2 linked regions of the Arabidopsis thaliana genome follow. The protein of the gene in region 2 interacts with the protein of the main gene of each other region in a pairwise test. Each region holds a gene or a part of one and is shown on either strand. Other genes may lie near its edges.

Region 1 (5,741 bases), on a different chromosome or scaffold from region 2:
GATTTTGATTTAAGAGCTTGGTTCGGTTTGGTATAGTTGATTGGGCTCTTTTCAAATTTTGTATGGATCTAAATTCGAAAATAATCCATTAAACCATTGTTTATAATATTAAATAACCAATAACAAAAAAAAAAAAAGTTCTCGCCTTCTCGGTTTAATCTTCATTCCTTTTTTTTAATACTCTTTTTTTTTAATTTGTTGAGAAATTGGAGATTAAAAATAAAGCCCAAAATAAAATAAAAAACCCCGGCCCATTAACAGTTAGTATTAAACAGCTTTTGCAACAGACGGCGGTAAACGATAAGATGGTGTTTTTTATGTCGTATCCGCCGACACGGCGGCAGTTAGTAGTGTCGGTGGGTTTTTTCGCGGCGGGCGTTTCTCTCTTCGTCGCCGGAGCGTATCTCTCACTCGCCAACATCTCACCGCAACAAGCTCGCGTCAAAGCTCGTAATGATTTCGTCAAGGATCGAATCAGGAAATGGCTCGACGATTAGTGTCTTTTTTTCGATCTTGTAGGCGTTCTAACTCTTAAATGATATAAATCAAAAGACGATTTCGTGTAAATTCATGCTCTTACATGTTTGGATCATTACCAGTTCAAATTCATGTTTTATGTCACTTACAGATGAGAGAATCACTCTTGACAAAACGAGCGAACAGAGAAAAAATGTAGATGTAAAGTCTTTAGATTCTGTTATCTCTGCGCTGAAAATGTGAATAAAATTTCTTGATCATATTACCATCTTGATTTTCTGGCATTCTGGTTCTCGCCTTTCGAAGCATCCGATAACCGCGACTTTGAAACAGATCCACCGCGGAAGTTACTTAGTCTCGAACCCGAGAGGATATGGTGATCTTTTGAAGAAGCCTTGTTTGGTTTATAAGCTTGTGTTTCATCTATATACCCTTTAGGCTCAACGTCAATAGATCTTCCCCAATCCAACCCTCCATCTCCACTTTTTTGAAGCTTCTCGCTCTGTACAACCCAATCAACACAATCCGATATGCTTCTTTGTAAAGAAAGGCTTTTCCTTGGCGTTGATTTTCTTCCTCTGTTCTCTTCACCATAAGGCCATTTATAGCTCTTGTTGTCTATGTTCAGTTCTATGGAATGAAGGTCGCTTTCGCCTGAACCTTCTTCATTTCCATTCTCGACTTCTCCATCTTCGATGTTATATGATCCAAAACTGATGTGATGGTTTAAATAATCTCCAGCCTCTTCGTTATGTAGCTGAGTTTGAGGTGGTTCACGGGTCTTCTCTTTACATCTTTTTGCTTTGAGGTAAGTTTGAAGCTGGTTTCTTAGCTTATCAACAGCTGCGTTTTTCTCCTCGAGCTGGTGTTTAGCCTCCGATAGTTTCATCTGTACTCTCTCTTCCCGCAATGCATCTGCTAACTGCAACATCTCTCTTTCCTTTTCGACTTCTTCTTTGACTTTAAAAGATTCTCTCTTCAGTTCTTCAACTTCGGCTTTGTCTTCGCTTATGTCTCTTGCTAGTTCATCACAAACTTTCTCAACCATCACTCTCGCTCGCTTCTCGTTCTCGATTTCTTTAACTGCTTTCATCAGAGCTGATTTTGTTTCAGCCAATTCTTTGCCCAATTTCTTGTTCAAGCTCTCAAACCGTCTCCTCAGCTTCCTCTCCACTTCTAGCTCACCAGCAACAGATTCGATTGCAGCCTCAACAACTTCTTGCTCGTTGCTTTTCCACACAGCTTTCTCTTCGGCAAAACGCTTCATCAAGTAGCTAATGTCGTTGTTTTCCGGTTTATGTTCGTGGATTAACTGATTGACCTGTAAGCGAGCTCTTTCGAGCTCAGAATGTAAAGCAGAGACGAGGGACATGCTAGAAGATGGGCGGTCGTCTTGACCCCACATTCTGTTAATGATTTTGAGAAGCTCTTTTGATGTTGTGAGAGCGTTACTACAATCCTTCAACCGTGTTTTGACACCCACAGTTGACCCAGTCGGTGTCTCCACCCGTGATCGAGTCTCAATCTGCATTGGAAAAACACATTTCAAATATTTTTGAACATCACTCTCTTGCACACATATTGATTTATAGATGATGGAGGCAAATTAACTAATCATAACGGATTGAGTGTCTCCTAGTTTCTTATACCGTTATTTGCAATGTTTCTGTGCATAACAAAACAAACCATAGATTATGTGTACGTATGCTTCCAAAGTAAAAAAACCAACAGCCTCTGGAGCCAATAATGCTCAATAATATACTACTTTCATCCTTAATCAAATACCAAATTTGGTTTGAGAAAATTATGAAAACTGCTAGAAGAAAGGGTTCCTCATAATGCTCAAAGAAACATCCCCAAGAGTGAAAAAAAAATAAAAAAATCAACTTACATCCATGAAGCTGCCACTGTTAATAGGATCCCTAGCCCCCACATTGCAGTCTCCAAGCCTAAGCTTTTGCACAGTTGATGAAGCTCTTCTCTGGCGACTCCCAGTCCCTGATCTTTCCATCCTCTACAAAAATCAACAAGTTTCTCAGCTATCCAATTACCTAACACACAGAAGTAAAGAAAGCAGAATTCTTCGCATTGTCCATTGCCAGATTTAGCATTATATATAATTTTTCTTAGGTCTCCATTATAAGAGAATCTAGGCCTACATTATTCACAATAAATCAACCTCTAAAAAACAACCAGCTACCTCCATATGACCAACGAATGAGAAAGAATAAAAACTAGTAGAAGTGCCCAATTATGCAAGAATAATAGGCACCAACTTATAAAGAAACGCCCTTTCATATAAACATAAATGTGCGTTATAGAGCACATGACAAAAGATTCTTAAGATCAAAACAGTTTTCTATTCTTCTCTAATCCCACTCCTTAACATCAACCAGAAGCTTATACGAATAATAATCTCCCTTGATGATTAAAATACTCATAGAGGTTGCCAAAAAAATCACAACTTTGACTAAATTCAGACCTTAGAATCACACAAAGATTATCAATTTTATCAGTTAAAGATGAGATCTTTATAACTTCCCCGAATCAATCAATACTATACTATATATATTATTGTTTTTCTCTCTCTCTTTTGATCGGTCAGAATTAAAGCACATGGCAGCCAGCAAGAAGTTGGAATTACAGCACATTCTCTTCCTCTCAACCAATCATAACCAAAGCATTTTACCTCAGAGACTGGACTATGCGACGGATCAGAAAGATGAGGCGGTAGAGAACCAGAATGAACCGATGATCTCGGCGGAGGAAGCGGCGCGATTCTCTCCTTTCTACTCTTTCTAATCATTGGCGCAGCCTCCTCCACAACTCTAGGTGAAGGCATCTCGTTCATCTCCCAAAGCGTCGCAGCTAACTTCCTAGCTGAAACAGGAGCAGGAGCTGATACTTTACCGGTTTTGCTCCCGCAGTGAGACGACGGAGAAGCAGCAGCGTGTAAAGCACCGGAAGCTCGTGGAGAAGGAGATCGACCCATAAGTCTCCATGTAGGTACAGGAGTAGTGGATCCTCCTCTTTTACCAACAACTATCGCTCTTTTGAATCTATAACCTTCACGGAGAATCGAAGAAGTCGACGATGTCGGCGAAGAACAACCACGTTTCCTGATTTTGCCAAGTAGAAGTAGATTCTCTACGCTTTGATTCTGCCTCGGCATATTCAAAACAATTGTAGATCTTTCTCTTTACCTGGAAAAACAAAAAGCAGATTCAGAAAATTTCACCGATCTGTTAGAAAAAAGCACAAAGACCAAAATTGAAGTTTTTAGAGTGAGTAAGAACACTTACAGAAACTTCAAAGCATTTCTATGGCTTCTTCTTCTACTTCAGAAGATAAAGTTGGAATGGGAATTGGGGGAATTTGGAAAGAAATGGCGGTTGCTGTGTTTTGAGGTTTTTTGATCAGACTAGTGTACAGAGTGTTATGTTAAAGTGAAAAGGGGAAAGATGACAGGAGTACTCATCTTCTGTGATAAGGAACACTGTAACATGTCCACGTGGTTTGATCTGTATGGATTATGGATGTTGCTCCGTGATTTACAGGGTGGATGATTTGTAAACCGACTTAAACCGAAATAATTGAATCGAAAACCGGAAATCACTTCCTTTTTATCGGTCCTGAAATAAGAGATTCTCAATTAGAAAAACAAACTAATCAACAAATTTCTTTAGTGAAGAACAAACTTATATAAATAGTATTTAGCAGTAAACATTATTTATATTTGGTTAGTATATGGTAAGAATTCGAATGAAATAGATCCTAAGTTCAATTTCACATGTTAAACCAAAAATTATGTAGATGTCATGAATTTATATCCATATTTCACAAAGTTTGACGGCTCATTGAGAACAATTATTTTCGATTAGAAGAAAGTCCATCTGCCTAAATAAAGGGAACTAGTGCATCTAATTTTATATTTGACCAAAAATATTATGCTCGTCTATGATATACTATGGGTTAATTTGGAGATTGGATCGTGTTTGTACTATATAGGGTTTCTTAAATGACGTGTTTGAGTAGGATGCATTAGATTTTAATCATTTGATACACAATTACATGAATCGATAAAAGACCAAATAATCTAAGGTTGTTCTTTTTACCAAACCAAGATTTTTAGGTTATAAGAAAATAGTTCCTTTAGTAGATTCCTAATGTGGACCAAAATATCTTGTTAATCTCATGCTTATGACTCCTAAATCATATGATCATGTTCCTATATGAGGTATATAATATACCATTTTTCTCCATTAGACGAGTGTGAGTGAGAACCGGTGTGCTTAAGTTACTCATTACAAAATGTGTCTACTACTATTCCAAGTATATAGATATTCATTTCAATAGGTTTTGAAGTTTTATCTATACCCACAATTTCACAAATCACAACCCGTTATAATTATAAATGAATATTGATATTACAGATTTACACTCGTGTAATTGAAAAATGGATGACCGAAGTATTCATGTGAAACCATGAATATTAAAATGCATGTATTATTTTTTTTATAGCAGGATGATCAGATATGATTTCCTAGTTTTCAAGATATTGCATCCATAAAATTCACAAGTTAATTATTTGATCAAACTAAACAATTGAAACTGTAAACGTTACAAAGAAAGATAACACGGCCACACTTTTTTCCGTTGTCAAATGGACACGTCCAAGTGGAGGAGATGATTCAACATACACAATCGTACCGTATTATTGTTCAACTCTTTATTGTTGTAAACGTTTTTTGTTTGGGTCAAGTCTCTTTATTGTTGTAAACACGATTCTTTCTATAGTACTTTCTGTCACATAAGTTTTTTTTTTTTTTTATGGTGAATCCGGAAACAAAATCTGTTCGAAAAGACAATTCAACCTAGAAATAGTTGGATCTACATCATATCAAAATATATAGGTAGCAATCAATATAAAACATTAAATATATGAACAATGTAAGACTATAGTGTTAGATACAATTGCGTACAAAAAGTTCAAAATATATATGAGTCAGGCCCAACTAAGATATGAATGCCCAATAAAGAACTAAGAAATTGGTTGCCAGAACTGTATTCCTATGGGAGTCTTCTTACTTCTGACTTCTAATTTCTAACAACAATTTAGTTTTTTTTTTCTCTTTTTTTTTTTTTTTTCTTTTGGCTGTCAAAGATCTAAGTTGTAATAGTTTTGTCATTTGATGAACTTTTCAATTGTAATAGCTGACTCAAAAATTTACCCAATCACCATCAGTATACCTTATGGTATGAAT
Region 2 (5,413 bases):
TATAAATTAATAACCTCTATAAATTAATAAATTCTTCCGGTTCTGAGTTGAGACCAGTATAAAAAGTGACAAAAATCGATAAATTAATAAGATAATAATTTTTTTGAAATCTATGTAAATATATGGTCCCATCAATATCATAAATTAATAATTGTATAAATGTATCAACTATATATATATATATATATATATATATATTATATGTAAAAAAAATTCTCTAAAATATATTTATAATATTTTTTTTGCTTAAATTCATATTTATTCTTTGTTTGATTATAGTTTTCATATTTTACTGTATCAAAACTTTTGATGTTGTTTTTTAGACATTATTATTATGTTTTACTTGTAAATGGTTCTATAAATATATTTTCTATAATGAAAGAAATCTTATAGAAATTTTTAAAACATTACCAAATTAGGAAAATTTCTCTATTATCTATAAATTAATACCTCTCTAAATTAATAAAATTTTGTAGTCCCAACTTTATTAATTTATAGAGGTTTTACTGTACTTCAAAGTTCTTCGTCAATGATTTAATTATCAAGATATTATAAAATTGTTTACCGAGATTTTTGGTAACTATTTGAGTAACGAATATTTGAGTAACGAATCGATTAAATAAATGCACTCTCAAAATGTAAATATAGAAGATCAAATGTTATCGCTGGCAAAAAGAAAAATAATGAATTTCCAATTTACTACCTTGATTAGAAACATCAAACTAGGTAATTTTTCACTCATTCTGAAACAAATTTGGTATAAAATCTTATTACATGAAGTAAGTAACGTATTTACCAAAACATTAACCAGTAAATTAGCAAAACAATTGCTTGCTGGGGAAGAAAACCAAATTATAAATACTCTCCAAATCCTCCAGTTTTAGTCACACAAACAACTCAAAACACAAGAGAAAGATACAAACTTATTCAATAAAAATGGAGAAAGCAGCTTTGATATTTATCGGTCTTCTACTTTTCTCAACATGTACGTAATTTTTTTGGATAATATGTTTAGTTACATTCATCGCCATCTTCTTCTTCCTCATCTATATTATATATCATCATGAATTCATGATCAATAACATATTTAATCTCATAGGCACACAAATTCTGGCACAATCTTGCAACAATGACTCTGATTGTACTAATCTAAAATGTGCAACGAAGAATATCAAGTGTGAGCAGAACAAGTGTCAATGCCTTGATGAAAGATACATCCGTGCGATATCGCTTAACACGAGGTCACCGAGGTGTAATGTTCAATCTTGCATTGACCATTGCAAAGCAATAGGCGAAGTAATTTATGTTTGTTTTACGTACCATTGTTATTGTCGCAAACCTCCAATGTAATAACAAAGTTATCATAATCATAGTATCTTTAACTTCTTTTACTGCGGCAAATTTCAACATATATTGTTTTATCATAACTATAAAATATGTCTTTAATAAAAGAAATTAAAACAATAATAATATATCTTACAAAATATTAATTATTTACGAGTTACAAGTATAGATTGGCGTTTTTGTTATTGTGGGCTTTTGGGTCCAAGATTGTAATACTGAGCAAAGATTTGATTGGACTCTCTGCTTCCTTCGAGGAAAAAAAAAGTAGAGTGTTGGACAAGCTTTTTGTCCATCTGTTAGTCCGTTAATTATCGCCGTTAAACATGGACGGACGCCGTTTACACTTCCTGGCCCGGTAACTATTTTTGAGTGCATATATCTCTTTCTTACCTTTTTTATCTTCTCTAGCTTATCCGAAGCCAAAACAACAAGGTAAGGTAAAGTAAAAAGAATTTTGAGAGTAAAGTGAAAACGAACCCTTTAAACTCAGTCTTCTCTTTGTCTGATTTAAAATGGAAACGAAAGACAAGAAAGAAAAAGGACATATGGTTTTAAATTCCGACAACGTTTTCGGTTCGGTGTCTTCGTCTCCGACAACAACAATCCAAAACCCTAATTACTTTACCTCCTTCGAGAACCCTAATTTCCCTTACATTTTTCCGGTTTGTCTTCGTCTCCAAAAACCCTAACTTTTTTACATATTTTTCTTAAAAAATTAATAACTTTATTGTTTTTGTGGGTTTAGAAAGAAGAGTATGAGGTGATGAGCAAGATCGAAAGCGGGTCGGGTAAGTCAACCGGGTCGGGTCATGACCCAGTGGAGAATACTGCAATCGAACAAGAGCCTCCTGCGGCGAAGAAGAAACGTTACCATAGACATACTGCTAGTCAGATTCAACAAATGGAAGCGTACGTCTTCTTGCCCTTTTAGTTTACAAGTTTATTATGTCAAAAAAATTATAACGATGATTTATGAAATGATGTTTAAAATATGAAATTTTGCCCTTTTATTGTAGATTGTTTAAGGAAAATGCTCATCCGGATACCAAAACAAGATTGAGATTAAGTAAAAAACTTGGTCTCTCGCCGATACAAGTCAAGTTTTGGTTTCAAAACAAACGTACCCAAATCAAGGTAACTAATCACTCTTTAGTTTGGTTTGATTTTAACAAGGTTAGTTAGACCATATAAACCGGTTTAAAATTGGGGTTAGAAACTCTGGCTAAGACCATTCATGTTAAGAAATTAAGCTTTTGTTGTTGCTAATACTGAGATTAACAGGCACAACAAAGTAGAAGCGATAATGCAAAGCTAAAAGCAGAGAATGAGACTCTAAAGACAGAGAGTCAAAATATTCAGTCCAATTTTCAATGCCTTTTTTGCTCTACTTGTGGCCACAATCTCCGCCTCGAAAACGCTCGCCTCCGCCAAGAGGTATGTATATTCGAATGAATCAAATCTTGGCTGTTGTTGTTTATCTACTGAATCATATGGTTATCATATGTTGCAGCTTGATCGTTTACGCAGCATTGTTTCCATGAGGAATCCTTCTCCTTCACAAGAGATTACCCCGGAGACTAATAAGAACAACAACGATAATATGTTGATTGCGGAAGAAGAAAAGGCGATTGATATGGAACTTGCAGTTTCTTGTGCTCGAGAATTAGCAAAGATGTGTGACATAAATGAGCCCTTGTGGAATAAGAAGAGACTAGACAATGAGAGTGTGTGTCTGAATGAGGAAGAGTATAAGAAGATGTTCTTATGGCCTCTAATGAATGATGATGATCGTTTTCGCAGAGAAGCTTCAAGAGCTAATGCAGTCATCATGTTGAACTGCATAACCCTCGTCAAAGCATTCCTTGATGCTGTAAGAATAAGTCAAAAACACATTCCTTATATTCATTGTTTAAAAACTCACATTGAACCATAAATATGTTTAACCTTTGCTTCAAGGATAAATGGTCGGAAATGTTCTTCCCCATAGTCTCAAGCGCCAAAACGGCTCAGATCATTTCTTCTGGAGCTTCTGGACCAAGTGGTACTCTTCTTCTGGTAAGTAATTTGCAATTTTACAATAGATAGAGTGTTCACATTAATTGGTTTTAAGGTCACTGAATCTTGTCTCTCTTTTCAAAAAAGATGTTTGCAGAGTTACAAGTAGTGTCTCCATTGGTACCAACAAGAGAAGCTTATTTTCTTCGGTATGTGGAGCAAAATGCTGAAGAAGGAAAATGGATGGTTGTAGATTTCCCGATCGATAGGATCAAACCAGCATCAGCTACTACTACTGATCAATACCGGAGAAAACCTTCTGGTTGCATCATTCAAGCAATGCGTAACGGATACTCTCAGGTCACATGGGTAGAGCACGTAGAAGTAGAAGAGAAGCACGTGCAGGACGAGGTTGTTAGAGAGTTTGTGGAGAGCGGTGTGGCCTTTGGCGCTGAACGGTGGCTATCTGTGTTGAAGAGACAATGTGAAAGGATGGCTAGTCTCATGGCTACAAACATCACTGACCTTGGAGGTATATATATAACTTGTTTCACAAGTAAACCTCAAACTTCCACAACCAATGTGATTAGTTATCCGTTTTCTCGTGTTTTTTCCTTCAGTGATACCTTCTGTAGAAGCGAGGAAGAACTTGATGAAGCTGTCACAGAGAATGGTGAAAACTTTCTGTCTGAACATAATCAATTCACACGGACAAGCACCAACAAAGGACACAGTTAAAATCGTAAGCAGGAAAGTTTGCGGTGGTCTTGTTCCTTGTGCCGTGTCAGTCACGCTTCTCCCTTATTCTCATCAACAAGTCTTTGATCTTCTCCGCGACAATCAACGTCTCTCTCAGGTAAAGAAAGTAAAACCAGAATCTTCTTCCTCTGTTCTTTTGATCCAAAGATTCTGAAAATCGATTCTCTGCAGCTGGAGATCTTGTTCATGGGTAGTTCATTTCAAGAAGTTGCTCATATCGCTAATGGCTCACATCTTGGAAATAGCATCTCTCTTCTTCGGATCAATGTTAGTGATTGATTCAAAATCCCAACAAAAAAAAAAATCGAATTTTGATTTTAAAACTTAAAAAGTTTGGTTTTTGAATTACAGGTGGAGAGCAATTCATCGCATAATGTAGAGTTGATGCTTCAAGAAACATGCACCGATAACTCCGGGAGTCTCCTGGTGTACTCTACCGTCGACCCCGTCGCTGTTCAGCTCGCCATGAACGGCGAAGATCCTTCTGAAATACCACTTTTGCCCGTTGGATTCTCTGTTGTTCCAGTGAATCCATCCGATGGTGTCGAGGGCAGTTCCGTCAGTTCGCCTTCGTGCTTGCTCACTGTTGCAATACAGGTCTTGGGGAGCAACGTCACCACCGAAAGACTCGATCTTTCCACCGTCTCCGTCATCAATCACCGTATTTGCGCCACTGTCAACCGTATCACTTCCGCGCTCGTCAACGACGTCGGTAATTAAGAGAAGATTTGGAGGGTATTTTGGTAAATAATCGCAGCTAAAAAAACTTATTATTTGTTGAGGTAAATTCGATCCGATACAAAGGGTAAAAACTGGAATTTACCACTAAATCTTTTGGGGAGTCAAGAACGCACCAAGGCATGATTTGTTGAACCGGGGTTTATCCGGTTTACCAACTGCTTGATTGGTTCGGGTATTGACTTCCAACTTGGTTAAACGAAAACGTTTTATATTATGGTTTTGTTCAAAACAAAGCTAGTTTAATGCTAATTACGAAAATCTACTTATGGTTTATTATTCGTATTGAATCCTTGTAAAATAATGTACAACTAGGAAAACCACCTCACAAATTAATTGCTCAGAAACCAAACAATCCACTTAACAATGCAAACAACCAATTAAACTTTGTCGAGCATACATAATACATTATGTGATCCACATTTCCAGATGGATCTGATCTTATGAGAAGCTTCGTAATTAGTAATTAGAGTAGGACTCGAACCGTACGAGCGACGACGGCCGTGGTGCTTTTGGACGTTGATGCCTAGTTATCGCCTAAACCACTTTTTAGAAAAGTTTCTTTATAGTATTGGCT

Evidence for each region.
Region 1: the proteins of HDG4 (region 2) and AT3G11590 interact in a two-hybrid assay, tested with the Arabidopsis thaliana proteins (one large-scale study listed by BioGRID).

The regions. Positions count from the first base shown.
Region 1 is NC_003074.8:3,658,536-3,664,276, reverse strand, and holds AT3G11590 (golgin family A protein), read right to left. Parts: upstream 3,980-5,741; 5' UTR 3,780-3,979; intron 3,681-3,779; 5' UTR 3,650-3,680; coding exon 3,167-3,649; intron 3,114-3,166; exon of another isoform or gene 2,492-3,113; coding exon 2,369-2,491; intron 2,003-2,368; coding exon 740-2,002; 3' UTR 543-739; downstream 1-542. Other genes in the region: AT3G11591 (bric-a-brac protein), read left to right, coding at 306-497.
Region 2 is NC_003075.7:9,855,732-9,861,144, reverse strand, and holds HDG4 (homeodomain GLABROUS 4), read left to right. Parts: upstream 1-1,856; coding exon 1,857-2,006; intron 2,007-2,089; coding exon 2,090-2,253; intron 2,254-2,360; coding exon 2,361-2,478; intron 2,479-2,625; coding exon 2,626-2,778; intron 2,779-2,854; coding exon 2,855-3,214; intron 3,215-3,300; coding exon 3,301-3,399; intron 3,400-3,486; coding exon 3,487-3,871; intron 3,872-3,959; coding exon 3,960-4,195; intron 4,196-4,269; coding exon 4,270-4,365; intron 4,366-4,449; coding exon 4,450-4,818; 3' UTR 4,819-4,890; downstream 4,891-5,413. Other genes in the region: AT4G17713 (Putative membrane lipoprotein), read left to right, coding at 937-985, 1,100-1,350. UniProt on the Arabidopsis thaliana protein: Probable transcription factor.